6 linked regions of the Xenopus tropicalis genome follow. The protein of the gene in region 6 purifies or fractionates together with the protein of the main gene of each other region. This does not show direct contact. Links are inferred from orthologs where the notes say so. Each region holds a gene or a part of one and is shown on either strand. Other genes may lie near its edges. The genes, in order: ddx6, mkrn1, larp1, paip1, g3bp1 and pabpc4.

Region 1 (4,925 bases), on a different chromosome or scaffold from region 6:
AAATCCTTATGTGCTATTTTCATTTTGGGTTCAGTACATACCGCAGACTTTGGTATATCTATGCATATTGGGCATCAAACTGTTCAGTAGGCCTCTGGTGTTCCTATTTGGGGTGACTTGCCTTTGTACGCAAGAAATTGTGTGAGATAAATGCGACAAATTGCAACATTTTTAGGCGATTTTCTGAAATGTCATAAAAACCAATAACTTTAGGAAAGCTCTGCAGATTGGTACTTTGGTGTAGAAAGGACTCTTTACCCTTGTTGGATTTGTCAGAATGTGTACTTTCCAAAAATATATGGTTTTGTGGGGGTCACTGTATGGTTAGGGGAAGTTTTGGCACATAATACACTGACAGGGGGCTCTGTGTGCAAAAGCTGAGCTGGCAGGCGAGAAATCCTTATGCGCTATTTTCATTTTGGGTTCAGTACATACCGCAGACTTTGGTATATCTATGCATATTGGGCATCAAACTGTTCAGTAGACCTCTGGTGTTCCTTTTTGGGGTGATTTGTCTTTATCTGATCTTTATCAAGAAATTGTGAGAGATAAATGCGGCAAATTGCAACATTTTTATGCGATTTTCGAAAATGTCATATAAATCTGCAAACTTAGGAAAGCTTTACAGCTTGGTACTTTGTAGCAATAAGAAATATTTACCCATTATAGATTCGGGGGGATGTGTATTTTCCAAAAATATATGGCTTTCTGGGGTGAATGTACTTTTTTTGTAGCATTATCCCACATAAAGGATGTAAATGTGTTGATTTTGCAGGAGCTGAAATGATAGATCATATGGGGGTATGTTCCCATTGGGGCCCCTACATGCCACATACTTAGGTAAACCTATACATATTGGGCATCAAACTGTTCAGTGGACCCCTGGCGTTCAAATTCAGGGTGTTTTATCTTGGTACCTAATGCTATGTGGGAGATAAGATGCTTCAAAGTGGAAGCTTTGAGGGGATTTTTGGAAATGTCATCAAAATTGCTAACTTTAGAAAAGCTGTGCGGCTTGGTACTTTGGAGTAGAAAGACATAGGTACCCATTTTAGATTCGGGGGAATGTGTACTTTCCAAAAATATATGACTTTCTGGGGTGAGCATACTTTTTACTAGCTTTATCCCACATATAATGATGTAAATGTGTTGATTTTGCAGAAGCTGAAATGACAGAAATGACAGTACATATGGGGGCATGTTCACATTGGGGCCCCTACATGCCACATACTTAGGTAAACCTATACATATTGGGCATCAAACTGTTCAGTGGACCCCAGGCATTAATATTTAGGGTGTTTTATTTGGTTACTTTATGACCTGTAGGAGATAAGATACTATAGACTAGAAGCTTTGAAGCGATTTTTAAAAAAAATCACAAATTTTGATAAAAACCAATAACTTTAGGAAAGCATTGCGACTTGATAGTTTGGAGTAGACAGACAGTTGTGCCTATTCTGTATTCCCCAGAATCTGTTCTTTCCAAAAATGTACAATTTTCTGGGATAAACCTTCTGTTAGTGGAATTTTGGCCTTGAAATCCAAAGTATGCAGTTTTTTTGGAGCAGTGCTTTGGGAATTTGGTAGTGTACTGCTGGGAGTTTTTGACCTATACAAGTGAGAAATCTCCATAAAACTATATATATTTGGTATTGGCATGTTCAGGAGACATGGGACTTTCCAAATCAGTTGTATATTCGTGCATAAAATAATTTTTGTTTCTAGTATGTGTGATTATATTATGGAAAATTTGATTTTTTTTGCATTTTTAGACATTTAGAAGCCTATATCTTGTTACAGAATTGGAATTACACAAAAATTCTACCATATTTTGAAAGCTTAGGTTGTTCTGAAAAAAACGATATATTGTTTTCCTTGGTAAACTAAAAGTCCCCCCGAGGAAAGGCCCCTAAAGTGAAACAGTGCAAAATGTTCAAAAACTGTCTGGCAATACAAGTTCCGCTTTGACCAAAATGGCTGGCAGTAAAAGGGTTAAAGGGCATATCAAACCAAAAAATATTTACCTAATAAAAACATTCTAGGCAACTTTCCAATATCAATTTATTAATAAATATCAGTGCTTTAAAAGTTATTTGTAAATGTAATTGCTATAGAAAGCAGCATTTTCTGAACTCCTTTTTAAACAATGTTGCAAGTGCCAGGCTCATCCAGCAAGGCAGGTCTGTAAAATTTGCTGGCCCATGTTTATCCATGGGCCATAAATTTTGTCTGTACCCTAAACAGCACTCACATGCATGTACTTATCCTAGGAACTTTTCACAGTGCTTATATTGAGATAAAGAACTGCATTGAGCATACATATACAAGTAATACAGCCAAATACTTATTCACTGCAGGTCAAAACATTTTTTAAAAGGCATTTAAATTTACATACTTGTCTCATCTTTGCATGGATATAGAAACACGAATAGCCCAACTGAGATATTTTCTTAGCCAGGAGTTCAACCCGTTGGGAGGAGTTGCAGAAAATTATTGACTGGTTGATTTGGAGCTAAAAAGGAACATGTACAATTAGCAATTTATAGAAATGAACACGCACCCCTAGTGTAGACATACTATAAAAGCCTGGTCTAATGTTGCCAACATAGAAGCTTTTTCTATTGTTGTACAGTGATCTTAATGAGATTTTTACAGGTTTTACATTTTATGTTTTACATTACTGCTGAAAAACAAACCTATCTTCAATATACTTTAAAAGAAAAAAAAAAAATCTGTATAGTTCAATAAAAAAAAAAAAACCCCACTAAATCCTGCACTTGTTTACCCTTCTCTCCAACTGCACAGACTACAGCCTGCACAAATCTTTAGAAAGCCGTGGGGCTGCAATACTTCACAGCACTGGTGATCAGCACACAGGTAAAGGGCAAAGATTTTTACAGAGTGTCCTCCTTTTTCATGTATATCGGTGTGCTGGGCTGTGCTATAAAATTTAGTTCACCAAATCCTGCATTTTCACCTTATACACATTACCACTAATACTAAAGACACATGAAATTAAAAAAAACTTCATAAAATGAAAAGCTTTACGGCATTATAGAAAACATTACGATAACATTAATTCCTTACCCTAGAGAACAGTGTGTTGAGGCAGTGAACTTTCTGCCGTTCAGTCACATAGGCATAATATTGCGTTACTCCCTTCAGCGTTAATTCCTCCATCAGGTTAATCTCATAGGGTTTTTGCAAATGGGAAGTCTATAATAAAAATTGTTATGGAATTAGCATGTAGCATAGAAAAATAGGAACAAAATTCTTAAATTGCCAAAAAACTGCTTGAATCAAGATTTGTAGCTGGGATCTGACCAGCACCTAATGTAGCGGTGGTTTAAAATTCAGGTGGTGGCCACTGGCTCAGACTGTGCTACACCTGAGCTTTCCTGCAGACTTCAATGTAACAGCATTATAAAGAGTCAATATATTAAAGTCCCCATAAAGTTAAGTCTACTCAAAAGTATACAGACATACAAAGTAGAAGGTAGAAGTTTCTACTGCAAGCAGGGCCAGACTGGGCCACCGGGAAAAATCCCGGTGGGCCCTGGCAGCCCAGACCCGACCCTTGCCAGTGCTCCCCCTGCCGTGTTAAAATTATGCGTTTGGGGGATGATGTCGGGTGGGGGGGCCCTGCGAGAGGGTTAGGGGGGCCCCTGGGGTGGGAGCACCGGTGGGCCCTTCACCCCCCAGTCCAACCCTGACTGCAAGAAGTTTAACAGCCATGGATTTTACTGCTAGAAATGCTTTTAGGTAACCTGTTTTTTCTTACTCCCATGTAACTGGAGGAGTCTCAAGCAAGCCTTGATTTTCTTAAGGTGGCCCCATACACCAAGATCTGCTTGCTTGGCGACGTCACTATGGCAACATCTAAATGTTTCCACTGGAATGGGCAAAGATAGGAGAGTCAGCGATGACATTTGGTAGGGTCATGTAACCCAAATATCTCAATCCAGGCATAGATTAAGATTACTGCACGTGGAGGGCTTGGGGACTCCTAACTCCACATGCGTAAACCAGATTTTCAAAACTAAAAAACTTTGATCTCTGCAATCATGGCTTCAATATTTTTTGAGTTGATTGTACATTACAAACAAAGTTGAGGAGGCCAAGAGGCAGGTTGCTGGTAAGCACATGTATACATAATGGCCATCAGATTTTAGAGCTCAGTTATACAAATATTAGAACAGCAAACAGATCTGCTCTTATTGGCCATGTTTGATCAGAAGACATGCCTTCCTCCTAAGTAGGTTTTTTGTTCTAGACATGCCTCTGCTTTGTTTTTATTTAGTGCATACCTTCGCTACATCTTCCATCTCTTACTTTAAAGTCAATTAAATACTTATCTTGTGGCTTGGGTGCTTTAAGACATATATTCGGATTAGCCACCTGTTCTCTCTAAAGAAATCTGCACTTGAATTCCAGCAGCAACCCCATGTTATAAGGCAGAATTGTTTATATGTACTACTGAATAGGTTTCATCCTTTCTAGCAGCAGAGTTCATAGTAAAACAAAACTACCACTGGAATTCAGAGCGCAGATTTCTTCAGAAAGACAGTGCAAAAATGAAGGGCAGGACTTTGGCAAGCTTAGTCACTGTTCATTTGTTTATGAAAAAGTCCGTTACCTATGGGAAACAGTAACTCCCATCTTGCAATTCGGCCTGGACTCTGAGAACAGATCTCTGTGCAACTGACTAGTAAACATGTTCTATAGGTAAACAACTTCATTTTTTTGGGGATTTATTCACTGGAAGAGTGACCCATTAACTATATATACTAACAAGTCACACAAAGGACAAGTTGCAAACATGAATCTGAACCAAAATAATAGAGTTCTGTACTTGCCATAAACTTCTGAACACTGAGGGGAAATGTGGCTGAGTAAAGTAGAATCTGTCTGTTTTTAGGTAGCGT
Region 2 (5,464 bases), on a different chromosome or scaffold from region 6:
CATAGTTTTATGGTATCTCTCTGTACAGGCTATGAGCAAACTTAGGGGGCTGTTCCTGCTGAATTGTGCTTAGTACAGGGGAATCCCTATGTGCCATAGTTTTATGGTATCCCTCTGTACAGGCTATGGGCAAACTTAGGGGGCTGTTCCTGCTGAATTGTGCCTAGTACAGGGGAATCCCTATGTGCCATAGTTTTATGGTATCTCTCTGTACAGGCTGTAGGCAAACTTAGGGGGCTGTTCCTGCTGAATTGTGCTTAGTACAGGGGAATCCCTATGTGCCATAGTTTTATGGTATCTCTCTGTACAGGCTATGGGCAAACTTAGGGGGCTGTTCCTGCTGAATTGTGCTTAGTACAGGGGAATCCCTATGTGCCATAGTTTTATGGTATCTCTCTGTACAGGCTATGAGCAAACTTAGGGAGCTGTTCCTGCTGAATTGTGCTTAGTACAGGGGAATCCCTATGTGCCATAGTTTTATGGTATCTCTCTGTACAGGCTATGGGCAAACTTAGGGGGCTGTTCCTGCTGAATTGTGCTTAGTACAGGGGAATCCCTATGTGCCATAGTTTTATGGTATCTCTCTGTACAGGCTATGAGCAAACTTAGGGGGCTGTTCCTGCTGAATTGTGCTTAGTACAGGGGAATCCCTATGTGCCATAGTTTTATGGTATCTCTCTGTACAGGCTATGAGCAAACTTAGGGGGCTGTTTCTGCTGAATTGTGCTTAGTACAGGGGAATCCCTATGTGCCATAGTTTTATGGTATCTCTCTGTACAGGCTATGAGCAAACTTAGGGGGCTGTTCCTGCTGAATTGTGCTTAGTACAGGGGAATCCCTATGTGCCATAGTTTTATGGTATCTCTCTGTACAGGCTATGAGCAAACTTAGGGGGCTGTTTCTGCTGAATTGTGCTTAGTACAGGGGAATCCCTATGTGCCATAGTTTTATGGTATCTCTCTGTACAGGCTATGAGCAAACTTAGGGGGCTGTTCCTGCTGAATTGTGCTTAGTACAGGGGAATCCCTATGTGCCATAGTTTTATGGTATCTCTCTGTACAGGCTATGAGCAAACTTAGGGGGCTGTTTCTGCTGAATTGTGCTTAGTACAGGGGAATCCCTATGTGCCATAGTTTTATGGTATCTCTCTGTACAGGCTATGAGCAAACGTAGGGGGCTGTTACTGCTGAATTGTGCTTAGTACAGGGGAATCCCTATGTGCCATAGTTTTATGGTATCTCTCTGTACAGGCTATGGGCAAACTTAGGGGGCTGTTCCTGCTGAATTGTGCTTAGTACAGGGGAATCCCTATGTGCCATAGTTTTATGGTATCTCTCTGTACAGGCTATGGGCAAACTTAGGGGGCTGTTCCTGCTGAATTGTGCTTAGTACAGGGGAATCCCTATGTGCCATAGTTTTATGGTATCTCTCTGTACAGGCTATGAGCAAACTTAGGGGGCTGTTCCTGCTGAATTGTGCTTAGTACAGGGGAATCCCTATGTGCCATAGTTTTATGGTATCTCTCTGTACAGGCTATGAGCAAACTTAGGGGGCTGTTCCTGCTGAATTGTGCTTAGTACAGGGGAATCCCTATGTGCCATAGTTTTATGGTATCTCTCTGTACAGGCTATGGGCAAACTTAGGGGGCTGTTACTGCTGAATTGTACTTAGTACAGGGGAATCCCTATGTGCCATAGTTTTATGGTTTCATCACTAAATTCTGCTAACACTGCTGGTTCTGAGCTGTAATTATAAACAGACACAAATTTCACAAAAAGGAACCGATTCAGAATGGGATATTTCTCTAGGCAGACAATATGGCAGCTCCCGTACAGACACAATTGTACATGACAGGACTGTGAGGAGCCGCTAATGGAACCCAGTTACTATGACATCACGCTGCACTGAAGTAACCGCACTGTCAGTTCCCACAGAAATCCCAGGTTTAAAGAGGGCGGAGCCAGTAAATGTATTCCGCTATTGGCTAAAACGCCAATCAATTACTCAGAAGGGGGTTGGTCGAACTGAATCCACGCCCCCTCCCTTCTTTGGTTACCGGAAGTTTTGGAATCGGGCGCCTCAGCGCGCCGGAAGCATGTGACCGCGGAAGTTCCGGTGTTGTTTATAAGGGGGGGATAAACAGGAATGGCGGAGGCAGCGGCGGCTCCTGCACCTCTCACATCAGCAGCCGCGGCAGGGAAGGCCCCGCTGCCCGCTTTCCCCGATAATCCCCCCGTGGGTGGCTGGACTCGGCACGTCGCCTGCAGGTACTTAGCATCCGGGGGGGCGGGGGGGCTAGACGCACAGTGTTACCGGGGGGGGCTGTCAGGGGGGGGGGCTGTCAGGGGGGGGGGGCTGTCAGGGGGGGGGGGGGCTAGACGCACAGTGTTACCGGGGGGGCTGTCAGGGGAGGGGGGGCTAGACGCACAGTGTTACCGGGGGGGCTGTCAGGGGAGGGGGGGCTAGACGCACAGTGTTACCGGGGGGGCTGTCAGGGGAGGGGGGGCTAGACGCACAGTGTTACCGGGGGGCTGTCAGGGGAGGGGGGGCTGTCAGGGGAGGGGGGGCTAGACGCACCAGTGTTACCGGGGGCTGTCAGGGGAGGGGGGGCTAGACGCACAGTGTTACCGGGGGGCTGTCAGGGGAGGGGGGGCTAGACGCACAGTGTTACCGGGGGGCTGTCAGGGGAGGGGGGCTAGACGCACAGTGTTACCGGGGGGCTGTCAGGGGAGGGGGGGCTGTCAGGGGAGGGGGGGCTAGACGCACAGTGTTGCCGGGGGAGGGAGAGCAGCTCCATTGAGGGATGTGGGGAATAAACCTTCCGTCTGCTGAAACAGACAATGCTGATCATTTACTGATAACTGTCTGTGTGTTTAGCAGAGGGGATTCCCACTATTGTCTATGGCAGGGGATTATCAGGCGTTTAGTAGCTGCTACTAAGTAGCATGGGACTGGCGGGGCGCGGGTTCCGTAGGGCTGGGACTGGCGGGGAATGGGTTCCGTAGGGCTGGGACTGGCGGGGAATGGGTTCCGTAGGGCTGGGACTGGCGGGGAATGGGTTCCGTAGGGCTGGGACTGGCGGGGAATGGGTTCCGTAGGGCTGGGACTGGCGGGGCACGGGTTCCGTAGGGCTGGGACTGGCGGGGCACGGGTTCCGTAGGGCTGGGACTGGCGGGGCACGGGTTCCGTAGGGCTGGGACTGGCGGGGCACGGGTTCCGTAGGGCTGGGACTGGCGGGGCACGGGTTCCGTAGGGCTGGGACTGGCAGGAATGGGTTCCGTAGGGCTGGGACTGGCGGTGCACGGGTTCCGTAGGGCTGGGACTGGCGGTGCGTGGGTTCCGTAGGGCTGGGACTAGCGGGCATGGGTTCCATGAGGGTGGGACTGGCGGGGCACGGGTTCCGTAGGGCTGGGACTAGCGGGCATGGGTTCCATGAGGGTGGGACTGGCGGGGCACGGGTTCCGTAGGGCTGGGACTGGCGGGGCACGGGTTCCGTAGGGCTGGGACTGGCGGGGCACGGGTTCCGTAGGGCTGGGACTGGCGGGGCACGGGTTCCGTAGGGCTGGGACTGGCGGGGCACGGGTTCCGTAGGGCTGGGACTGGCAGGAATGGGTTCCGTAGGGCTGGGACTGGCGGTGCACGGGTTCCGTAGGGCTGGGACTGGCGGTGCGTGGGTTCCGTAGGGCTGGGACTAGCGGGCATGGGTTCCATGAGGGTGGGACTGGCGGGGCACGGGTTCCGTAGGGCTGGGACTAGCGGGCATGGGTTCCATGAGGGTGGGACTGGCGGGGCACGGGTTCCGTAGGGCTGGGACTGGCGGGCATGGGTTCCATGAGGGTGGGACTGGCGGGGCACGGGTTCCGTAGGGCTGGGACTGGCGGGCATGGGTTCCATGAGGGTGGGACTGGCGGGGCACGGGTTCCGTAGGGCTGGGACTGGCGGGGCACGGGTTCCGTAGGGCTGGGACTAGCGGGCATGGGTTCCGTGAGGGTGGGACTGGCATTCCAGGTGCATTAGGGCTGGGGGAAATTGATAAAGGTACTTTAGTTCAGGGGAATTGTGGGACAGGGTTAGCAGGGCGGGGCCAATATATTTAGGGGGGTATTTACTAGAGAGAGATCAGATGAGAGGGAAGCATTGGGAGCCCGTTAGTTCATGCAGTGAGAGACTGTTGGGGCAGGACTGTGAGTAAGTTTGCTGGAGGCACAGCCCTGTCCTTCTCAGTTAAAGGGTCGGCCAGATCAACCTTTTAGGGATTAAAGGGGGGTGTGAGGGTGCCGGCTCTGTCACTGTATAACGGAGAGTGATCCCTCTGTCTGATTGGTTGCTGGCTTGTCTGTCACGGTGTTTATGATGCAGGTACTTCATGCACGGCGTGTGTAAGGAAGGAAGTAATTGTCGTTATTCCCACGATCTCACCAGCAGCCGATCGACCATGATTTGCCGATATTTCCAGCGAGGCTGCTGCGCGTATGGAGACCGCTGCAGGTAAGTGAGCGCCACTGAGAGCTGTCTATTCCCCCAGTGTGAGCGCTCTCGGCTCATCTCTCTCTCCCTCGTTGCAAGGTACGAACATACCAAGCCACTTAAGGAAGATCTGATTGGAAATACCTCTACTGCGCGGAGCTGGCCGAGTGAGTCCCCCGCGGAACCGAGCAGCAATATAAACAGTAAGGCAGCTGAATTGGCAGCTAGTGAGCTGGCAGCTGGGGGTCCACAAGCTGAAGACTGGGTCAATGCCGTGGAGTTTGTTCCGGGGCAACTCTACAGTGGACGTGGTAATTGCTTGGGCGGGGAGCACCATACCAGCCAGGCAACCCCACAAGTTCCTTTGTTTTTACTTTCACTTTTATTTTTATATACTTTTTAATCACCCCCAGCTCATTATCATCTGAACTGTTCCCCCCCCCCCCCCAGGCTGCACATTTGGTTTGGCCAAGGCTTAAAGGGGTGTTTTACCTTTCTTCTTTCAAATGGGGGTCACTGACTCCGGCAGCCAAATACCTATTGCTCTGTGAGGCTCCAGTTTTATTGTTATTGTTACTTCTCTTTCTATTCAGACCATCTCCTATTCATATACAGGTATGGGATCCCTTATCTGGAAACCTGTTATCCAGAAAGTTCCGAATTACGGAAAAGCCGTTGCCCATAGACTCCATTTTTATCAAATAATCTAGAATTTTAAAACTGATTTTCTTTTATCTCTGTAATAATAAAACAGTACCTGTACTTGATCCCAACTAAGATATAATTACCCCTTATTGGGGCAGAACAGCCCTATTGGGTTTATTTAATGGTTAAATGATTCCCTTTTCTCTGTAATAATAAAACAGTACCTGTACTTGATCCCAACTAAGATATAATTACCCCTTATTGGGGCAGAACAGTCCTATTGGGTTTATTTAATGGTTAAATGATTCCCTTTTCTCTGTAATAATAAAACAGTACCTGTACTTGATCCCAA
Region 3 (4,925 bases), on a different chromosome or scaffold from region 6:
TTTTCTCATCAATAATCTCTACCACTTTGCTATCCTTTAGTGCCTGCAGAACACAAAGGCATCATTTACACACACATTTATCTAAATATATCTATAAACATGCACACAATCAAAGAATGGGTACATTCATCTTATTTTATGACAAATACTGGTAACATATGGACATGCAGTTCTGCACAAGAAGCCTTCATCATCAACATATATGTGCTCATTAACATGAGCCACAGATGCTCTGAAGAGCAACAGTGGTACGGTCTGAGTATATATATTTTTTTTTATTTAAACAAAATTCAACACAGTTCACTTTACCTTGACTATCAGTTCAATATCTGTGGTAAGAGCCTGTACTCGATGGAAACTGGCAATCAAACCAACGGGCAAAAAACCTTCAGAATCCATCTTCCGGCGCAAAAAGAAGTCCCTCTGCAGGTTGTCCACACTAAAATAGTATTCTCTGCAAGAAAAAGCACAAAAGTAAAAAAAACAATCTAATTTACAAACGAAAGGTGTTAAACCACAAAAAGTGCATTGTACCCATAGCAACTAATCACAACTTAGTTTTCATTTTCTCAGTTTGCTAAGTAGCAGCTATTAGCAAGTGCACTTTTATAACTTAGCACCTACGTTTATGACAAACCCAACGTCACCTAAGGAAGCATATCAGAATATCTTGGCCCAATCCACCCTTTCTATGCCAGTCTAATACATGGAGGCAACGTACATCTGTCGTTTGATATAGTCTTTTAGAAGTTCCTGGTCCACACTGTACAGCTCTGAACTGCTCATGTTGTCGTAGTAATAAGTGATATTACTGAGAAACTTTGGCCCACGTGTTACATCTGAACCATCAAATTTCCTGTACCCGTACGGATAGTCAAAGTGAGCTGTAAATTGAAAGGAGAAAAAAAAAAAGTGTATGATCTGGACTGTTCTATATATAATTTTCATTATGGCGGTATAGGGGGAAACAATTTTTTAGAAAATGTTATAATATACAACTTTCACTTACAACGGGTGCCTCCTCGACCACGTCCTCTTCCTCTCCCTCGGCCACGTCCTCTGCCCCTAAAGCCACCCCTGATAGCTCCCTCACTTTTCACGCTGGACGTATCATCGAAGTCCTGCCAATCGCGCTCAGACTTGTTATCAGGATACATTGCTGTATTGGGGGGTAGAGACAAACACTTAACACACCAACAAAGGCTCTGGAGGCCATCCCCATGGTTAAAAAAAAAAAAAAAAAAAGCCTGGCTCTAAAGGGTAAAAATTCCCACACTGCATATTCATCTTCTGACCATTCGCATCTATATGCATATGGAGATGGTGGCAAAGTTTGTGGAATGGATAAGGTGGCCATACACAAGCAGATTTAAGCTGCCTATTCAAGTCCTTTAGACTGATTCAGCAGAGTATTTGCCCGAGTTTGGGGCCCCCAATGGTCCTCCCTGATCAATACCTGGGAGAAAATCAGGCAGGTTTGATTTGCCCATCAAATTGGGGACGGCATCAGCTCACTGATATGGTCCTTGGTCCAATGGGTGCTATGCCCATTGTTGTAATTCAATTGTTTGGCCCTAGAGACAATCAAATTAGTTCAATACTGCCCACCTTAGGTGGGGATATAGGGAAAAAAATCTGCTCGTTTAGCGTGTATGTCCACAGAGTGGCACCATAAAACCATGCCATTGCAGATATTCCTGTATTTACTGAGCCCACTTTAACAGAAAACTTGAAGGACTGGTTAATATCCTAAAGTGCATTTTTCTTCTTACAAATAATTCCACTTGAATGGCTTCAGTCAGCTGCTTATTAATATACATATATTTAGGTTTCTAGTGGTAATAGCACATTTAAATGCACACAAAAATATATTTATTTTTGGGTGTTACTGGTCCTTTGAGGACACATGAACAGGTATAAAGTGTGCTTCAGCTCAAATAACACATAACAGCCAACAAGAAATTAGCCTTTGCTGGTTTGTTGAAAACTTGGCACCTATTATCCTAGTCCCAATTTGCCTTAGATAGAAAACTGTTCTAGTTAAACATACTTTTAGGGTCACTGCGGTTCAGCGGGTGCCGTTGCTGCTCATTTTGCCGGTTGTTCCTGGATGCATTTTTCTCTCTTGGTCCATCAGGCTTCATCTCGATTTGTAGGGGAACCCACTTGTGTTTGTTTCCTGCGGGAAACGCTTCAGCATTACAAATTAAATCCGATTCATTTCAATCCAGTTTTCCAGAAAAGCCCCCAGATTTCCCTCTAATACCCTAAATTCACTAAAGTTGCTAACATGCAAACTTAACATTCACAATAATGTTTTTTATACAAGAATAAGAAACACAAAATACAATTGCTCAGCATCCACACACACAAAAAAAATGAATATTCTGTGAACACTGCTGGACAAATAGGGTATATTTTGCCTTCATAACACAAGGCATTGTGATTGCAATGGGTAGCAGGATGGACTGCGGTTTTGGATTTGCTGTTGTGTTACATTCAAGGGCACCAATCATAGAAAAAGTTTCCCCCACTGGAGGTGTGGGCTTATAGAGCCTGCAGTCTGGTCGGAGAAAACAATACTCCCAAGCAAGCACATTAGTGACATAGGAGTGGTGATGTGCCCCGCACACTCATTATGCGAATGAGCACCAACATAGCCACCTATACTCTAAAGGTCTCTCCCAGGAAATGTGGAGTAGCGCTCAGAGTTTGTTTTCTCTTTCTAAAGTGCAGGCTCAATTACCACCACCTCTGGTGAAGAAAATAATTTTTTGATGTGCCCTTTAAAGGAATAGTAATATAAAAAATGAAATATAATGCACTATTGCCCTGCACTGGTAAACATTGTGTGTTTGCTACAGTAACACTAATATAGTTTATATAAATAAAGCTGCTGTGTAGCCTTGGGGGCAGCCATTCATGCGGATCTTAACTTGTATGGGCACCTTTAAGCTTTCCACACTCATTTTTCCTATGAGAAGCATGGTAAGGGAAGGTCACCCACTGTCTAAAATTTGATACAGTAGTTACTGTAGCAACCTTATAGCCCCTACTAAGCATGATCACTAATATAGGTTTAGCTTTCATTAGAGAGGTGCAGTGCGATGAGATATAATATACCGCTAACTACTATGCTGTGAAAGGGTAGAGCATACACAACATTCTTTCAATTCATGTCTGCATTTGCAGATATGGTTAACAGATGCTTAAATAAGCAGTAACACCAAAAAAGTAGTATCAATGAATCAGCATTCAAACCCCTTTCACGTTTTTCCTGTTACTAGTTATTTGCTTGCCTAGCTTGAGGAATTCTTTATGGCTATTTGAACAGCACCATCTAGTGGTTGAAGAATGGTAATACTGTGCATATACTGGTAATACTGCTCAAAAAATAAAAACTCTTAAGGCAAGCACAGTATGGTTATAGAATTAAAATATGCCAGGAGAAAAATTGAATGAAATCAAGACACTGTTTAACAACAGTTTTTCAACCTACTGAGCCTTTGCCCAGTCAAAAAATCTGGCATTATGGGAAGGAGGCATAGAACAGTTAATGGTGGTGCTGGAAGGGGCGTGCCACCGAAACGTTACATGGTTTGCTACTATTAAAAATCAGCAGGGTTTATCCCGCTTAAATAAGTCCTGTTGTGCCGGTATTTTTGTGCTATTTGGATCGTGGTGGAGAGTGCCGACGTCTCTCTAAATACTGTGCACCAGGCGGAACAGAGTGTGCTGGTGAGTATGGATTGGGTGCTTGAAGGAGGCAATTGTTTAGATCTGACTAACACCTTTAAGGTTTCTTCACTGACACTGAACCTTTTTGGATTAAAAAAAAACAAAAAACTGTATTGTTAAAGGAAATCTCACTGTACCTTTCTTTTTGTTAGCTGATCTCTGGCCATCGTCATCGCCATTCTTCTCCTCACTGGACTCATCTGATTTCACCCTCTGGTTTTCCTTCCCGTCTGCACTTTCCTCTTTCATATCCTTCTTGCCCAGGGACTTGCGGCCTGGCTGGAGTTTGGTAGGCGGCTAGAAGTAAAAACAAAAAAGACAAAGGCTTTAATAAGATCAGAATGCCTGCTTAGTGTTTGACACAGTCTTACTTTGCTCCTATTAAATTGATGTTGCCCAGTGTATCAACCAACCTTTGCTTACTAGTCAGGTGGGAAGGGCAGTCAGTGGCAGTTACCTTTTTATTGAAGCTTGGCCCTGTTAAGCAAAGGGCATTCTGATGCCATGTGGCTTAAAGCTGGCATGGTGTTCTTACAATCCTAAATGATATCTAAGTATAATGGATACAATTGGTTCACCGATAGGGCAAGTTTGAAAATCTGCTAAAGCTCCATAGACATCTCTGACGTGAAGCATCAGCAGATACAACAGGGCCACATCTCCACTTTACTTTCTGATAGGCAATCCATTTGGCTTATTTAGTCCAACTATGGCCCCCTTAACATTCACAATATTTTCCCAGCCAATGAAAGAAGTGAGGTTGTACTGAGCAGAGCAGTTTTGTGGCCACTGGCCAGCTAGCCAATCTATCTTGAAAGGTATAAAGCACACAAGACTTCATACAAAAGCACCCCCACTTTATAGCACCAGCTTGCGAACAGTAAAGCTGAATATCTCTCACTGGACAACCTGACACAAGGGATCACCTCCTCAGCCACTAAACCTGCAATATGAACTCACTATTATTGCCCGATCCAATCTAAGCCTGAACTATACTACCCTCCAGGGGCGACCCAATAAGAAAGGGGCCAACAGAGTTTTCTGACAAAGCCCAACAGGCTGGAGGGAACCTTTCTTAGAAACCTTGCATGCCCGTGGTCACAGCAGGCCACTGATATGTTGTTTCTTCAGTTAGTCACTAGAGACAAATGCTTCATTCCAGAAAAAAGAGAAACACTTAGTAATGT
Region 4 (5,525 bases), on a different chromosome or scaffold from region 6:
AACCCAAACTATAGGGAGCCCGCTAACCCAAACTATAGGGAGCCCGCTAACCCAAACTATAGGGAGCCCGCTAACCCAAACTATAGGGAGCCCGCTAACCCAAACTATTGGGAGTCTGCTAACAAAAACTATAGGGAGCCCGCTAACCCAAACTACAATGTATCAGGAAGAAAAGTGCCTATGGGAGGCAGAGAGCGAAAAAATCCTGAGCTGCGGATAATTAGCGATTAAACAAGTGAATTCTTGCCTCCAAATAGCAATTAAGCATTGGAGCTTGTTATAAGAAACTGAAATTCTGACCTGTCCACCTATAGTTTCCATATCACATGCTGCATGGCTGCTAGTAGCCCCAGTGAGAGGCGCCCCACATGGCTGCTAGTAGCCACAGTGAGAGGCGCCCCGCATGGCTGCTAGTAGCCACAGTGAGAGGCAGGGCTGCATGGCTGCTAGTAGCCACAGTGAGAGGCATGGCTGCTAGTAGCCACAGTGAGAGGCAGGGCTGCATGGCTACTAGTAGCCACAGTGAGAGGCGCGCTGCATGGCTGCTAGTAGCCACATGCCTAGAGATATTGCTAGAGATGCAAGTCATGCACACATGCATAATAGCATGTATATAAAAGGAAAATAAAGGAACTGCAATGTGACCATTGGCCAGACACCAGCCGATTCTAGCTCCCGATATCAGCCCTTTAAGCTGGCCATACACGCACCGATAATATCGTACGAAACCTTGTTTCGTACGATATTCGGTGCGTGTATGGCAAGTGGGAGAGTCGACCGGTATCGCAGGAGGCTGCTGATATCGGTCAACTCGCCGATCGGCCAGGTCAAAAGATTTTGATTGGGCGCCATAGAAGGCACCTGAGCAAAATCTGCCGTCATGGCTGAATCGGCAGAAGGAGGTAGAAATCCTATTGTTTCTACCTCCTTATCTGCTGTTTCAGCCCTGAAGGTTAGTGGCGGGTCTGATGGTCGCACGATAGATCGCAGATTGCCACGTGTGTGGCCACCTTTAGAAAGATTCGGCAGCTTATCTGCCCGTGTATGGGCAGGAACAATGGACCTGGTCTGAAATCGGGCAGGTTTGATTTTTCCATTGGATTGGGGACCACATTGGCTTGTTGATGCGGTCCCCCAACCGATGGTGCCTATGCCCGCTGTTCTAATTCGATAGTTTGGCCCCAGGGTCAAATAACCAAACGAGCCAGATATGGCCCTCTGTAGGTTGGGATATCGGGAGAATATCTGCTCGCTTGGCGACCTCGCCGTGTATGGCCCCTGCCAGGCTAAATAGAGAGATAGTGTTGGAGTAAAGATGGGAGTGGGTTGTGGGGGTGGCAAGTTGGGTATAGAGAAGAGGCCTGTAAGAGGGGGTTATGGCAAAAAGGCTGCCTACAAGTAAGAAGGCAGCGCAAAGGGGGAGAATAAAAGTGGATTTCTTCATAAATCCCAATAAGTATTTAACTGCAAATAGTCCTGTGACCGCTGTTTGCCGGTCTCCTCATATGCGGTTTCGTCTAATAATAATAATTCCGGCGGGTCCAATAGCTGCCGCTGAAATACACTTGTCTCTTTGTTGAAGGAATAGACGCCCTCCTAACGCTAGGTGGCGCCGTGTGTATTTTACGTTGTTACGGCAGGAAGAAGCGCTCTGTTTACTTTCATTTTTGGGTCCTCCGGGCAACAGGTGGCGCTGATTTATTTGTTTTCTCCAATAACTTACTGCATGACTGTGACAGGGGGCGGGCTAGAATTGTGATCGTTCGGGGCCCCGGGGGCTGTTCCCGCTGGAGCACCGAGTTTCCTACAGCGTTATGTCCGATGGTTTTGAGCGGGCCCCAGGGGCCGGGAGGGGCAGAGGGCGGGGGTTGGCAGGCGGGACAGGGAGAGGCCGTGGGCGCGGAGTAGAAACAGCAGAGGGTGGGAGAGCACCGGGCTTCAGTGGGGCCTTGGGCGCTGGGGACGAGCCTGGGAGAGGCAAAGCCGCGGCTAGCCAGCAGCAAGAGCCCCTACGGCCGCCTCGTACTGGGCCGCCTGGAGGAGGAGATGCCGGAGCAGGTAATTCCCCTCAAGTCATTTTCTCTCTAAATTCTCTGTCAGGGACCCTGGGAGTTGTAGTTCATCAGTAGCTGGAATGCAGCTGGAGGAGCTTTCCTGTAATTCGGGGAGGGGAATTGCACCAATGGGAGTAAAGAAAACTGCAGAAACAAAGTTTTTGTTTCCATAGAAGGAAAACTAAACCTCAAAATGATGGGGGCGAAACTCTTTGTCTTGAGAAATGTGCATTGGCAGGGGTTAGTGTCTGTAGCTGCCATCTTCCCTGTCATCACCCTCCCCTGGGGCAGTTGCAGCAGGGCACATTGCGCAGTACCCTCCCCTGGGGCAGTTGCAGCAGGGCACATTGCGCGGTACCCTCCCCTGGGGCAGTTGCAGCAGGGCACATTGCGCAGTACCCTCCCCTGGGGCAGTTGCAGCAGGGCACGTTGCGCAGTACCCTCCCCTGGGGCAGTTGCAGCAGGGCACATTGCGCAGTACCCTCCCCTGGGGCAGTTGCAGCAGGGCACATTGCGCAGTACCCTCCCCTGGGGCAGTTGCAGCAGGGCACGTTGCGCAGTACCCTCCCCTGGGGCAGTTGCAGCAGGGCACGTTGCGCAGTACCCTCCCCTGGGGCAGTTGCAGCAGGGCACGTTGCGCAGTACCCTCCCCTGGGGCAGTTGCAGCAGGGCACATTGCGCAGTACCCTCCCCTGGGGCAGTTGCAGCAGGGCACATTGCGCAGTACCCTCCCCTGGGGCAGTTGCAGCAGGGCACATTGCGCAGTACCCTCCCCTGGGGCAGTTGCAGCAGGGCACATTGCGCAGTACCCTCCCCTGGGGCAGTTGCAGCAGGGCACATTGCGCAGTACCCTCCCCTGGGGCAGTTGCAGCAGGGCACATTGCGCAGTACCCTCCCCTGGGGCAGTTGCAGCAGGGCACATTGCGCAGTACCCTCCCCTGGGGCAGTTGCAGCAGGGCACATTGCGCAGTACCCTCCCCTGGGGCAGTTGCAGCAGGGCACATTGCGCAGTACCCTCCCCTGGGGCAGTTGCAGCAGGGCACATTGCGCAGTACCCTCCCCTGGGGCAGCTGCAGCAGGGCACATTGTGCAGTACAGAGAGGAGACTGGCAGGAGTGAGCCCATCATTGTACCCCATGTGTGCTTGGTGAGTGCCTGTCTGGGTATGAAGTCTGACAGAACCCCACCCCCCTGTTTTAAGTTTACTTTCCCTTTAAGAATTCAGAATACAGAACGTCTCCAAAAAAAACTGTGGAAAAACGTATAGCATTAGTAAGGCTTTTGGCATTAATAACAATAACCTCGGCTTCATAATGATGGAACCAAAATGGGGGAGACTGCATTGCTCCAGACTTAGTTGTGGGGGTGGCATTTACACAACTGTCATTTGGGTGTTTGTGAGTAAGTGATTTTCTGGCCTAAATTAGTAATTGACCAAGAAGAACAATCCTGTACCCCCTGCGGTCTTCCTGTCACTGTTCTCTTGGCATTACCTGGCATTTTAACTTCCAAATGTATTTGCCAACCCTCCATCTGCCAGTATTGTGTATCACCCTACCTACATCTCTGTTCAGTCTCTCCTCCCCACACATAGATGCCCCTTACGGTAAAGTGTTGCAGCCCACCATCTTGTCACTGCCCACAGCATGCTGTAATCTGACCAGTCAATGCCCAGCATGTCTGCTTCTCTATCCCGCCACTAACCATTGTATGTCTGATGCCCAAGGGTTAGAGGGGTAGTTCCCATTTCTGTTAATGCCCTGTGTGCGATATGCTTCATCTGTCATTGTCTAACCTGTTCTACCCAATGTCTTCCCATCACTCTATCTGTTCTACCTGGCACACTGTCACTGGCCATCAAGGCTGGCACCTTCCAGGTCACCAGTCAGGCTTGGATTTTTGCGCCAAGTAAAGTGTTACATTGTCATGGGACTTATTGGGGCAGAACCTGACATACATTGAGCTTAGAAGAACCCCCTGCAGCCCAGTCATTCCTTTAGCTCCACCCATCTGGATAAGGCTTGGGGAATGAGTGGGTTATTGGTAACAACATCTAGATGGCTACTGGTTGCCCATGCCCTGCCTAGTTCATACACTAGCTGTATGTATGGCTTCCAGCAGTTTCCCCTGGATAACCTTTTGGTTTGATAAGTGTTCTGCTGCTTCCTGGAATAGACTGTGCTCAGATTCAGTGTCTGGCTATTGGGAAATCAGTCATATGCCTTGCAAAGGGGAAGCTGTGCCTAATGTTTAGCAATAAGAGAGTCCTCCTTACATTTCTGGAATTCTTTGGGATGTACATGTTGTTACATTTAATATATTATATAATTTTTTTATACATATCATTGCACAAGAGTATTGAAGACTAATTTAAATATAATAGCAGCGTATATTGCAAATATGTTAGTTTCACGTTGGTCTGGAATGCAGATAAGATGTTGTAAGATCTATAAACTCACATTAGAATAATGGGGAAGGTATTTAATTCATTTTATTTGCTAAGTGCTCAGTAAATTGCAAGGTTATGGGTTTCTGCACAGGGAGCATCATCTGCATGTTGATTTATATGAACCAGAACTTCCATACGGATGCTCGGCCCAATTGGGCTGTATTGTCACAAGTGGCAGAATCGTTGCATAGATTTACCCCTCCTTTTTATTAAAATGCCATTCAACTCTTTATAGTGGATTATTCCCATGATCTACACAGGGCAGTAATTCAGCAAGTACTTTTCCTGAATTTTGCACCCCAAAAAAAAAATCCAGTTTTATTTTTTAGAAAATAACATTCACAGAGTATAAAGCTGTTTCGGATACTAACTAGATATGGCCCTGGGGCCTTCTGCATGTAGAAAGGATTATTACCCTCTAGGTTTTGACCCAAACATGGCTTTCCATGCAAATTTGATTCAGCCACTGTGATCCCTCCTGCAATAAAAAATAGTAATTAATAGGGGTTTGGGTTGCCAGACTATTCTCCCAACATAATTTGGTTCCCCTAAACAACAAGTTAAGAAATACTGGCATATATTGCATTTTAGAAAGAACCCTATTCCTTCCCTTATTATCTTTGAGCATTTGGAAAAAAATGCAGTTAATACGTTTCCCTGATTTGATATTTTCTCATAATTTACATGGTTTTTTTTAGCCCCTGAAAATGTAAAATTGGAGATTCTAGTTTTTCCCTCAATGTAAAAAGTAACTTGGTGATAGAGTAGTGATCCATGTTGGCTATGAATAATAACAATAATTGAGATTGCCATGCACAGAGTGATATAGTACAGCACTTTGGTTGTTTGCCTGTCTTTCTTCTCATGAAGACTTTAACGGACTATTACATTGAATAGAACATCCAGCCTTGTGACGTTGTTCTGAGAGGAAACCGGCCCCACTCCCTTTCTCATGTGTTGCAGCCTTATTTTCCTCAGTCAGTTTGGCATACCGGAGCCCTTGGCATGCAGATTTGCCAGTT
Region 5 (5,355 bases), on a different chromosome or scaffold from region 6:
CTACCTGCTGAGATCTTATGGCGCTAACAGGGATCCTGAGCCCCACTTACTTTGGGGGAACAGATGTTACTTTACTTAATGGCGTGCCTCCACCCAGGTTAGGGACAGATTGAACTGTAACTCCCCTCCTGAGAACTTAATGCTGTACTGTATTCCCTGGTCAGGGACTCCCTGCAACTCCCGGTACCTTTCCCCTTCCCTTTGGGGTAGCTGCTTACCAGGCAGTGAGGATCGTCTTTGTACGAAGAGACCAGGACACTGGTATGATGTTGAACCAGTAGAATGTAGTTTATTACTTGCAGACAAGTAGATTATACAGGAGCACACTTATATGTCAGGTTACACACACTTCCCTTTGGAGACCCTCTCTCCCTGGGGTTACTCGCGGTACTCCCGCCAGATGATCCTTCTTTGGGGTTCCCTCTGGTACTCACGCCAGAAGGCCCTCTCTAGGGCTCTCCCTGGTACTCCCGCCAAGCGGACACCCCTCTGAGACCTCACGCCCAAGCACCCACTGGATTAGGTAATCTCCTTACCTGACTCCAGCTATGAGTGCTATCCCACTCCTGTAGGGGTGATGACTACCCGTACTAAATAACCTGTCTCCCACTCCTAGGGGCACATTTACTAACCCACGAACGGGCCGAATGCGTCCGATTGCGATTTTTTCGGAAAATTATCGCGACTTTTCCGTTACCAATACGATTGTTGCGAAAAAACACGAGTTTTTCGTAGCCATTCCGAAAGATGCGATTTTTTCGTAGCGTTAAAACTTGCGCAAAAAGTTGCGATTTTTTCGTAGTGTTAAAACTTGCGCGAAACGTCGCGCCTTTTAAGTTTTACCGCTACGAAAAAAGCGCAACTTTTCGCGCAAGCTTTAACGCTACGAAAAAATCGCAACTTTCGGAATGGCTACGAAAAACTCACGTTTTTTCGCGCAAATCGTATTGGTAACGAAAAAGTCGCGATAATTTCCGAAAAGTCGTAAAGGCGCCGAAAAAAATCGCAAAAAATACGAAAAAGTCGCAAAATGTTCGTTTTCCAATCGGAATTCTTCCAATTCGGTCGGAATTCGTGTCTTAGTAAATCAGCCCCCTAGAGTGAGCTATTATCTCCAGATCTACTATCTAAACACTAGCCTGTCATTAACCTCTGTCCAGAGGGGGTCCCAGGCAGAAAGACCTAGCAGCACATGGCTGCATTCCCTTATATACCTAATGCGCTACCCAGTGGCTGCTAACTAAAACTGCAGGGCTACTCCCTGTTAACTCTTAACCTCCCAAACCACCCTTGGGAGCCTGTACTAGGGGAATCATCCTAGAGGCCCAATTTTGGAGATCCCTACGTAGGTATGAAATATTTTCTGAATTCCATTGTTTTTTCCATTTGACTAACTATTAAGATTACTATTTTGTATTATCTGTTTTTATATTTGTTGGCAGGATTATGTGCTTTTTTCTGCCACCTTGTGTTAATGTAGACATTTATCTTTAAGAAAATCCCCGTTTCTGTCCTGTCTATTAAGGCAATATCTGCTCGGGGATTGGCCAGCGTCACATTTTTCCCGCCTCTCTTTATATTCACTCAGGGTTTCCTGCTCAAGGTTACAGGGTCCCTCATGCTTCAACAACCACACTAGCATTGTGTCTGAGAAATCTTCCGACCAATAAGCGCTCGGCTAACTTGTAGGAGCAGAAGGGCTGTCTTTACTGCTGTATTCTGCTTTGCGTTTGGCTGCTGGCTGTAACCATAGGCGGGTTTCCCTCTAGCTTATTGGTTTTATGTGTTGTCGATCTGAGTGATTTTCCGCCTATTAGCCCAATAGGATTCCGAAGTGCTTGCGCTGGGCGCCTTGATTGGGTAGTTAGGAACAGCAAGTTTGGCTGCGACGTTAGTATATGTAGCCGGCAGCTGAGCACGCCGCTGCTTGTGCCGACGCTGTGTGAGGTGTAAATTTATCTAGGCTTCTACGGAGCGCCAAGCCTGCACCAAGCCGGACCTTTCACAGGTACGAAGACCTTAAACATCCTTAGGTTACTCTATCAGAGCGTTGCGTATATTTTTGATACACGGTGCCTTTGTCGCTGCATTACCTCATGTCTTTCCTTGACGTAACGCGCGCTTTGCCTCGGGTGGACGCGGCCTTTATTGGGTTGGTATAGAGACGCGGTGTGCTCCTCAAGGAAGCGACGGAGAAGATGAATTCGAACCCGTGTGCTTTTGTTTTATGGCAGAAAGGACCGTTTTACTGTCGGCAGAGAGGGGCACTCGGCATCACAGGGGCACTTTAGGGACTATGTAGATTAAAGTATGCAGTACCTATTCCATAACATGTTAGTGTCAGTAAGTAAGGGATTTACTACCAGCTTCCACCACTTTCAGGCTGTGTTGTAGTCTTATCTTTTAATCCAACTTCTATGCAGTTATGTTCCCTCAATGGGAGCTCCAGACTTACTGCATTGCAAGGGCCCTCACTTTATCTTTAACTTCGGTTCCGATGGCAAGGTCAGCCATTCTGAAAACTGTCAGACTCCGTTTGAAGCCTAGGGGGCTTCCAGAGGGCCATACATTAAGTATGTTCTTTTGTTAGGCTTCTTTGAGGAAGGACCCCAGGGATTGTTATTGGTCACCATCTTGACTACTGATAAATATATATATTTATTTTTTTCTCTGTGCCAGAATTTCAGAGGTGGGAAAGTGTACCCTTAGAAGAATTTGTTAATGTTTTTGTTCCAACTTAGTCAACATACAGACTTAAGCCATTCATGCCCAGATTTGGTTGTCCAACATGGCTGATTTTGACCAGATTCTGACCATTTGAATGAGTATGTATGCCATGTTTTGGGGGTCTCCTTATTGGGTATGATTGAACATTAAGCTCCTCTTCACTTCTGGTGTTTCTGATCTTTTGTGCAGTCAGCCTAAAGCAATGGAACCGTGCAGTGGCAATACATGTGTACATATGCCCACAGGTTGTAGAATAATATTGTATGGCTAAAAGTTAAGTATCTATTGTGCCAGCACATTTACGCATAGATATACAGAGATTATACACAATTCCCATTAGCTTCTGCCCTACTGCTGCTTACAATATAAGTACTATATCAGTTTACACAGTGGGGGCAGTTATATCAGGACCCAGTTAACCTGCCTGTATGACATGGCAATATCATTGGCAAAAATCCTTGGCGATATTGCCTTACTTAGAACCAGGCACGGTAGAAGTGCTACCCAAAGATCTGATTTGTTACAGGAGAATTTAACCTCTTTATACTGTTTCAGTTCCCCACAGAGGCTCATTTGCCCAACTTTGCCAACCTGTACACCTCAAGGAGGACCCCATTACAGGGGAGTGGCTCTATTGTGATTCATATGTGGGAGGTTTTTTTTTTTTCTGCAGTAGTGATATGTGGGCTTCCCTGAAAACCACAGATTCGTGCCAACAATTTGTGAGTATTGAGCCAAATTTGCCGCCAACCCAACTGCTCCAAGCCCCACTAGTTCTTCAACTTCCCCTTACCCCTCTAATAAAAGTGTAAAATCTAAAAATAGTTGGGGCACTATGTGTTAGGGTTGGGTGCAGGTTGTAAATAATTTTGCAAAAATACTTTGCAGTGCACCAAAAGATTTAGGACAACAGCTTAGGACAATAACTTGTCAAGATGTGCTTCAACAATATTCTTTCTATACTTCAGTATGTTTGTGTGGGTCAATTAATAGACCTTTTCTTTATTATTATTATTATTATTATTTTTTTTTTTTTTTTTTAAATGTTCCCTTTCAGCATGGTTACTCCAAAGGTTTGAATGCCTGCCTATAATGAAATTGTTCAGCACTGTAAAGTCTACACTACCAAGGTCACAAATAAGCTGAAGAAATAAACAAGCAGTCTTTTAGCCCAGTCTCTCTCGTGAGGGCTACTGCAATATCATGGTGCGGGATGGACATTCGCCTAGGTTAAGTGAGGGGAAGGCTCTTTAAAGCAGCCCATTGCTAAGGGAGATATATTCTTGTGGCTCTAAAGACACATTTAAAGGTTTTGGAATTTTAGTATCAAGACCTGTTGCAATTTAGACATCCCTGTTCCAGATCTAAATTGACATCTGATTTGACAGCTCCTTAGATCCCAGAAGGGTTAATAGTCTTATGACTATGTCTTTCAAGAGCTGTATGCGATCAATTTGCTGCCACTCATGAACCTGCCTAACTGCCAGTGGGTCTCACGTTTCTGCTGTAATTTGTGCAGGAAATACTCAATACCATTTAATTGTGCTGTACCAGATTATTATAATGAAACTTTATTGGTGGAATATTGGTGAAGCACATCTTGACATGTTATTGTCCTAAGCTGTTCTGCAGCAGCCGTCATGAAGGTCTGCACTGTGCAATTACTAATCATAACACGAGTAAACCCAGACAATATAAACACCTTATTACATTACATTACATTAACATTTATTTATAAAGCGCCAACATATTCCGCAGCGCTGTACAATAAGTGGGTTACATACATTGGACATACAGAGTAACATATAAAGCAATCAATAACCGATACAAGAGGTGAAGAGGGCCCTGCCCAAAAGAGCTTACAATCTACAAGGAGAAAGGGTTGAGACACAAGGTGTGGTAATGGGCATGACCAGAGTTGTGAGAGGTGGGGCACAGGGTATTGCTAAACTAGATTAGGGTAAGCCTCTCTAAATAAATGTGTTTTTAGAGATTTCTTGAAGGCAGAGAGATTGGGAGAAAGTCTGACAGTTTGTGGGAGCGAATTCCAGAGAAGGGGGGCAGCCCTTGCAAAGTCTTGAATGCGAGCGTGTGAGGAGGGAATGAGAGAGGAGTTGAGGAGCAGGTCAGTAGAGGAGCGTAACAAGCGGGTTGGATGGTACCTAGAGATGAGTTCAGAGATGTAGGGTGGGGCAGAGTTATGGACTGCTTTAAATGTGAGGGTCAATAGCTTGAATTTTATCCTGGATGGTAGGGGAAGCCAGTGCAGGGATTGGCAGAGCGGCATGGCAGAGGAGGAGCGGTTGGAGAGGTGTATGAGCCGGGCAGCAGTATCTCAAGCACTGCAGCTATAACAATACTGAAGGAAATGCTTGCTGTGCAGCCCTGTGGCTAAGTGGTTAATAGAGATTATCCATATTTTATTTACATACATCTCTATAGGTGTGCCTTCACTTAAACTATCATTTTTAGAAGGGCTTTTCTCAAGAAACTTCATGTTAAAATTACAGCCACAGTGTTATATTGTCCTGGGGCTGTTCGGTGGCAATTGGTTATGCTGACTTCATCACACATACTCGACTGTCAATCATGATTTCTCTTGGATATTTTACTAATCATATTACAGAA
Region 6 (4,925 bases):
CTCCCCAGCTCATCCAGAGAATTCAGCCAGCAGGAAGTGAAATGGATGGGCGGGGCTAGTGGGGTTTGCGGCGAATTTCTCAATAAATCAGTCCAAAACGCAACTTTTTTAGCACAATCCTTTTATATCTAGAGGAGTACAATTCCCTGGTACATTGTTAATTTTTATAGGATAGGTCTCCTTTAAAGGAGAAGGAAAGGCAAAGTCACTTGGTGCCAAAATGTTAAGCACCCCCAAGTGACTTTAATCGCTTACCTTGTACCCCGGGCTGGTGCCCCTGTTCGGAGAAAATAGCACCAGCCCGGGGTACCTGGAGCGCAGCACTTCCTCCTTCCGCCTTCAGCTTCCTAAACTGCCGGTGGCCGGGCATGCACAGTAGAGCGAAAAAGCCGACTTAAATGTTTAAGTTCGGCTTTTCACTCTACTGCGCATGCGCGCGCAGCGAAGCCGGAAGGAGGAAGTGCCGACAGCTACCCCGGGCTGGTGCTGTTTTCTCCTGACAGCGGCACCAGCCCGGGGTAAAAGGTAGGCGGTTAAAGTCACTTGGGGGTGCCTAACATTTTGGCACTTTACCTTTCTTTTTCCTTTAAGTCGTCATAGCAGTGCTTAAAAGCTAAGGTAGCTTATAATATATGATGCATTGGCAGATCAAGATTCCCAGACAACAGTTATCTGTCTGGATCAGCAGGCTGCTATACATATACTGAAAATGAAGCAGTCATTCAAAAGAACATGTATGTATAGGGGCTCTAACTTGGGCTGATTCAGAACACAGTTACAGCTACAGTATATTGCACAAGTGCAGTTTCCAGTAGCAACCGAAAATCAGTTTGTTTTTATAAGTCTGCAAGTGATAGTAACCATTTGATTTGTTGATATCTACTGTTGCACTGTGGTAGTAGCAATAGTAGGCATTTTCCTGCAGATCAGCTCTCAACACTATTACCCTGTACAGATGCTTTGCGGCTACTTCCCCTAACCAAACTTTACTGACCATTACTTTATTTAATTACTTTTGCTCAATTACAATAGTAAGTAAGTCAAATAAAACTAGTGTTTCTGGTAACTATTACTTCTGTCACATATAGACTTTTGTTATAGCTACATAACGGTTCACTAATGAGCATATTCAAACACTTGATAATCCATCTATACACAAGGCTGAAAATTAAAAGAAAACGTTTTGACTCTTTAAAAAAAAAATATATATATATATATATAGAACCAATATAAAAATTAAGAAACAGTCAGCTTTTAAGCAGTGCAGATGTTATATTTTTGTTTCTTTCCCCAAAGACCCCTCAGCCAGCTGTCCATGTGCAGGGACAAGAGCCTCTCACGGCCTCCATGTTGGCTTCTGCTCCACCCCAGGAACAGAAGCAGATGTTGGGTGAGTCTTACGTTTGTTTTGTTTAAGGAAGTGGTTTCACTTGTGGGAGTCAGAGAAACAGATGAGATTTCATTTTCCATTCTGCCCACAGGAGAACGTTTATTTCCTCTTATCCAAGCCATGCATCCGTCATTGGCGGGTAAAATTACAGGAATGCTGCTGGAAATAGACAACTCAGAACTGTTACATATGTTGGAGTCCCCAGAGTCTCTGCGCTCTAAGGTATGTAGCTCTGGCTGTAGTAGTTACTCCGATTTCAGGTTTTTATCATTTTTTTGTTAATTTTTGTAATAAATTATCTGTTTACCGCATTCCATTTTTACCAATACAGATTTCATGCACAAAATGGTAATTGCCGTATGGCAATAGCTCAAAGGGCATTTTTACCTTCACCAGGGATGTATCTTCTATATTAGGCGCACATATATATATATTTAACGTGTATTGTGTGTATATAATATGTAGTAATATAAAGTCCAGCACACTCTGCTCTTGTGTACACAAAACAATAATATTTATTAAATTAATTTATATTTATTATTTCAGCTCCATCAGGAACATCCACATAGTGTAAGACAATGAACATAGAAAACAAAAATTGGCGCCAAAGTGAAGTATGTGACGTCATCACCCTGATACCACCAGTTGATGATGTTACATACTATACAATGGCATCAGTTTTTCTATTATTTGTTCACTGTCTTATAGTATGTGGATGTTCCTGAAGAAGGCTCCTGAATAATTCACCACTGAATGCCACTGCACTCTGGTGGTCAAAACTTTTCTGTCCACCTGTCGCCAGTCTTAATACTAAAGAATGAAAAGTGCAGAGGTCTGTCTAAAACCTCTCCATGTAACTTTACATTCAATGGTATTAGGAGCAATTACAGATGAAATCCTTTATTCATGTCCATTCACATCAAGGAAAAATAGCAAAATTCAGGGCACACCAATATGCGAAAAAAAACCCCCAAAGCTTATTTAACAAAACCCAACATGTTTTGACTCAACATTTGGGTCTTTATCAGGGGCTCATGCATTGAAAAAAATGCAGGCAATCAGTGAGCACAAAATACAAAGTTGTAACAAGCATGCCAAATACAGCTTTCTGTCTTCACCGCTCAGCTCTACTTCGCATTTCCTGGTTCTGACGTTATATCCGGAAGTGATGTCATCTCCTAGCAACAACTGTGCCCTGAATTTTGCTATTTCAGTAGTGCAGCTGGGGACTTTCAGTTAGCCCCCGTCAGTGAGCATCCATAAGTATTAAAAATAATAATAACATAAATAATTGGTGTGCCATCCTGTCATCTATATATCCACATCAAGTAGAAAGTGAGGAATGGACTATAATATTAATAAAGCCTATAAGGGATCCCTGGAAATAAATGTAAGGTGGCAGTGCTTTCTTGGAAAGATCATCAAACTCAGCAACTCTACCCCGCCCCCTGTAAATTAGCCTTTACTTGTCCCTTAATTTGCAGATATATTTTATTTTAAATATACCTTATAAAGGTGCTCTATAGAAAGTGTTTTCTGACAACTGCTGCCAGTTGACTAACAGTATTTGAAAAGGGTTGACAACAAGATTCTCTACATATATTCCAAAAGCCAATAAAATAAATTGGGGTTGCCATATTTTTAAAGAATTTATGATGCATTTTCTCTTCATCCTTTGCTAAATATTTTTGCAAACTTATAGAAATGTTTATGATGATATACAGTGAATATAAAAAGTCTACACACCCCTGATAAAATGTCAGGTTCCTGTGCTGTACAAAAATGAGACAAAGATAAATCATTTCAGAACTTTTTCCACCTTTAATGTGACCTATAAACTGTACCACTCAATTGAAAAACAAACTGAAATCTTTTAGGCGGAGGGAAGAAAACCAAAAAACTAAAATAATGTGGTTGCATAAGTGTGCACACCCTTGAACTAATACTTTGTTGAAGCACCTTTTGATTTTATTACAGCACTTTTTGGGTATGAGTCTATCAGCATGGCACATTTTGACTTTGCAAAATTTGCCCACTCTTCTTTGCAGAAACACTCCAAATCTGTCAGATTGCGAGGGCATCTCCTGTGCACAGCCCTCTTCAGATCACCCCACAGATTTTCAATCAGATTCAGGTCTGGGCTCTGGCTGGGCCATTCCGAAACTTAAATCTTCAGTTGAAACCATTCCTTTGTTGATTTGGATGTATGCTTTGGGTCGTTGTCATGCTGAAAGATGAAGTTCCTCCTCATGTTCAGGAGGTGGAAAAAGTTCTGAAATGATTTATCTTTGTCTCATTTTTGTACAGCACACGAACCTGACTTTTTATATCCACTGTAAATGCATTTGTGTTTAAATCCTGAGGCGTATTTACAATAAAAACTTATTGGCTTATTTACAGTATAAAAAGCTGGCTGTGTTTGGTGGTGCAATTAACATGCTGTAAATTGGAAATTAATTATATTGACTGACAGCAGTTCATATTGTTCTTCTGTCAAACTATGGGAAAATCTTAACATTAGATGTAGGGAGATTGTTCCATTCTAATTTAGTGCCATGGTGCTATAGAATCCATTTGACAAGGTGAAAACTATAGAGGCACATTCCCCCATAGTGAAGCTAAAACCTGGTGGTTACTGAAATGTCAGCTGAGTGTTAAGGTGTGTTGCAGGGGTAGTAATTAAAATGCGTGGTGCACTACAATTAGCTTTAAGTGTACATTTTTATTAATCTATGTAGTGTATACTGCATATCTAATGTTCAGTGTTTCATTTACAGGTGGAAGAGGCAGTAGCTGTGCTTCAGGCTCATCAAGCCAAGAAAGATGCTGCACAGAAAGTGGGAATTGTCACTGCTACCTCTTGAACCAGGCTGACCTGTAAGTATCCACACTAGTCAGTATGCAGGGATATTCCCCCTAGATCTGATGGTTAACAGATTGTGTAGCTGTCTAATACAAATTTGCAGAAAGCAATACATTTACTTTAAATATTAGGGTGCATTCTGCAAGAGGCTTAAGTTTATTTTGTGTAAAATATGGTATGCACTGCTTTCATGTATGCATACACTGGAAATTTTTAGTGGAATTTTCTATACAACTCTTGTGCTGTTCTATAAGTAGAGGGGAAATAGTGTTCACAGGCCTGACTGGGATTCATAAGAGGACCTTGCATTTTAACTACACAGAGACTAAAACAGCCCCCCACAAGACCACTAAGTAGTGACTGTCTAAGGCTTCTTATAGCAGCCCCTCCGACAGAACCCACAGATTGCCATTCCCTACCTGAGTTGTTATATGTCTTCAAACATGTGTCCTTTTTCCTTTAGATGTAGGTACCTGACTAGAGGAGCTGGCTCTTCTGTGCTGCACCATAACCGGTGTAACTGTTGTTTGGTTTGTCCCACATACAAGTCAGAGCACTCGTCACTGCACTGCATGTACAGTGTTACTCTTCTTATGCTTTGGGATTAGGTCTTTGGGGTGAAACAGTTGCTATCTCAAGCTTAAATAGAGGTGGGAGTGCAGCATCTATTGT

What was found.
Region 1: the proteins of pabpc4 (region 6) and ddx6 purify together in Homo sapiens (affinity purification with mass spectrometry; 3 studies listed by BioGRID and IntAct, with this or other methods). This does not show direct contact. The link is inferred for Xenopus tropicalis from reciprocal best matches to the Homo sapiens genes PABPC4 and DDX6.
Region 2: the proteins of pabpc4 (region 6) and mkrn1 purify together in Homo sapiens (affinity purification with mass spectrometry; 3 studies listed by BioGRID and IntAct, with this or other methods). This does not show direct contact. The link is inferred for Xenopus tropicalis from reciprocal best matches to the Homo sapiens genes PABPC4 and MKRN1.
Region 3: the proteins of pabpc4 (region 6) and larp1 purify together in Homo sapiens (affinity purification with mass spectrometry; 3 studies listed by BioGRID and IntAct, with this or other methods). This does not show direct contact. The link is inferred for Xenopus tropicalis from reciprocal best matches to the Homo sapiens genes PABPC4 and LARP1.
Region 4: the proteins of pabpc4 (region 6) and paip1 purify together in Homo sapiens (co-immunoprecipitation; 3 studies listed by BioGRID and IntAct, with this or other methods). This does not show direct contact. The link is inferred for Xenopus tropicalis from reciprocal best matches to the Homo sapiens genes PABPC4 and PAIP1.
Region 5: the proteins of pabpc4 (region 6) and g3bp1 purify together in Homo sapiens (affinity purification with mass spectrometry; 4 studies listed by BioGRID and IntAct, with this or other methods). This does not show direct contact. The link is inferred for Xenopus tropicalis from reciprocal best matches to the Homo sapiens genes PABPC4 and G3BP1.

Annotation. Positions count from the first base shown.
Region 1 is NC_030683.2:80,839,043-80,843,967, forward strand, and holds part of ddx6 (probable ATP-dependent RNA helicase ddx6), read right to left. Parts: coding exon 4,857-4,925; intron 3,217-4,856; coding exon 3,088-3,216; intron 2,513-3,087; coding exon 2,396-2,512; intron 1-2,395.
Region 2 is NC_030679.2:5,323,319-5,328,782, reverse strand, and holds the start of mkrn1 (E3 ubiquitin-protein ligase makorin-1), read left to right. Parts: upstream 1-2,061; 5' UTR 2,062-2,145; coding exon 2,146-2,267; intron 2,268-4,359; coding exon 4,360-4,488; intron 4,489-4,566; coding exon 4,567-4,778; intron 4,779-5,464. UniProt on the Homo sapiens protein: E3 ubiquitin ligase catalyzing the covalent attachment of ubiquitin moieties onto substrate proteins. These substrates include FILIP1, p53/TP53, CDKN1A and TERT.
Region 3 is NC_030679.2:19,796,320-19,801,244, reverse strand, and holds part of larp1 (la-related protein 1), read right to left. Parts: intron 4,036-4,925; coding exon 3,876-4,035; intron 2,192-3,875; coding exon of another isoform or gene 2,180-2,191; coding exon 2,051-2,179; intron 1,160-2,050; coding exon 1,010-1,159; intron 885-1,009; coding exon 722-884; intron 455-721; coding exon 310-454; intron 44-309; coding exon 1-43. UniProt on the Homo sapiens protein: RNA-binding protein that regulates the translation of specific target mRNA species downstream of the mTORC1 complex, in function of growth signals and nutrient availability.
Region 4 is NC_030677.2:194,888,319-194,893,843, forward strand, and holds the start of paip1 (polyadenylate-binding protein-interacting protein 1), read left to right. Parts: upstream 1-1,749; 5' UTR 1,750-1,814; coding exon 1,815-2,058; intron 2,059-5,525. UniProt on the Homo sapiens protein: Acts as a coactivator in the regulation of translation initiation of poly(A)-containing mRNAs. Its stimulatory activity on translation is mediated via its action on PABPC1. Competes with PAIP2 for binding to PABPC1.
Region 5 is NC_030679.2:16,834,070-16,839,424, reverse strand, and holds the start of g3bp1 (ras GTPase-activating protein-binding protein 1), read left to right. Parts: upstream 1-1,936; 5' UTR 1,937-2,008; intron 2,009-5,355. UniProt on the Homo sapiens protein: Protein involved in various processes, such as stress granule formation and innate immunity. Plays an essential role in stress granule formation.
Region 6 is NC_030678.2:91,040,746-91,045,670, forward strand, and holds part of pabpc4 (polyadenylate-binding protein 4), read left to right. Parts: intron 1-1,296; coding exon 1,297-1,390; intron 1,391-1,481; coding exon 1,482-1,612; intron 1,613-4,167; coding exon 4,168-4,254; 3' UTR 4,255-4,267; intron 4,268-4,925.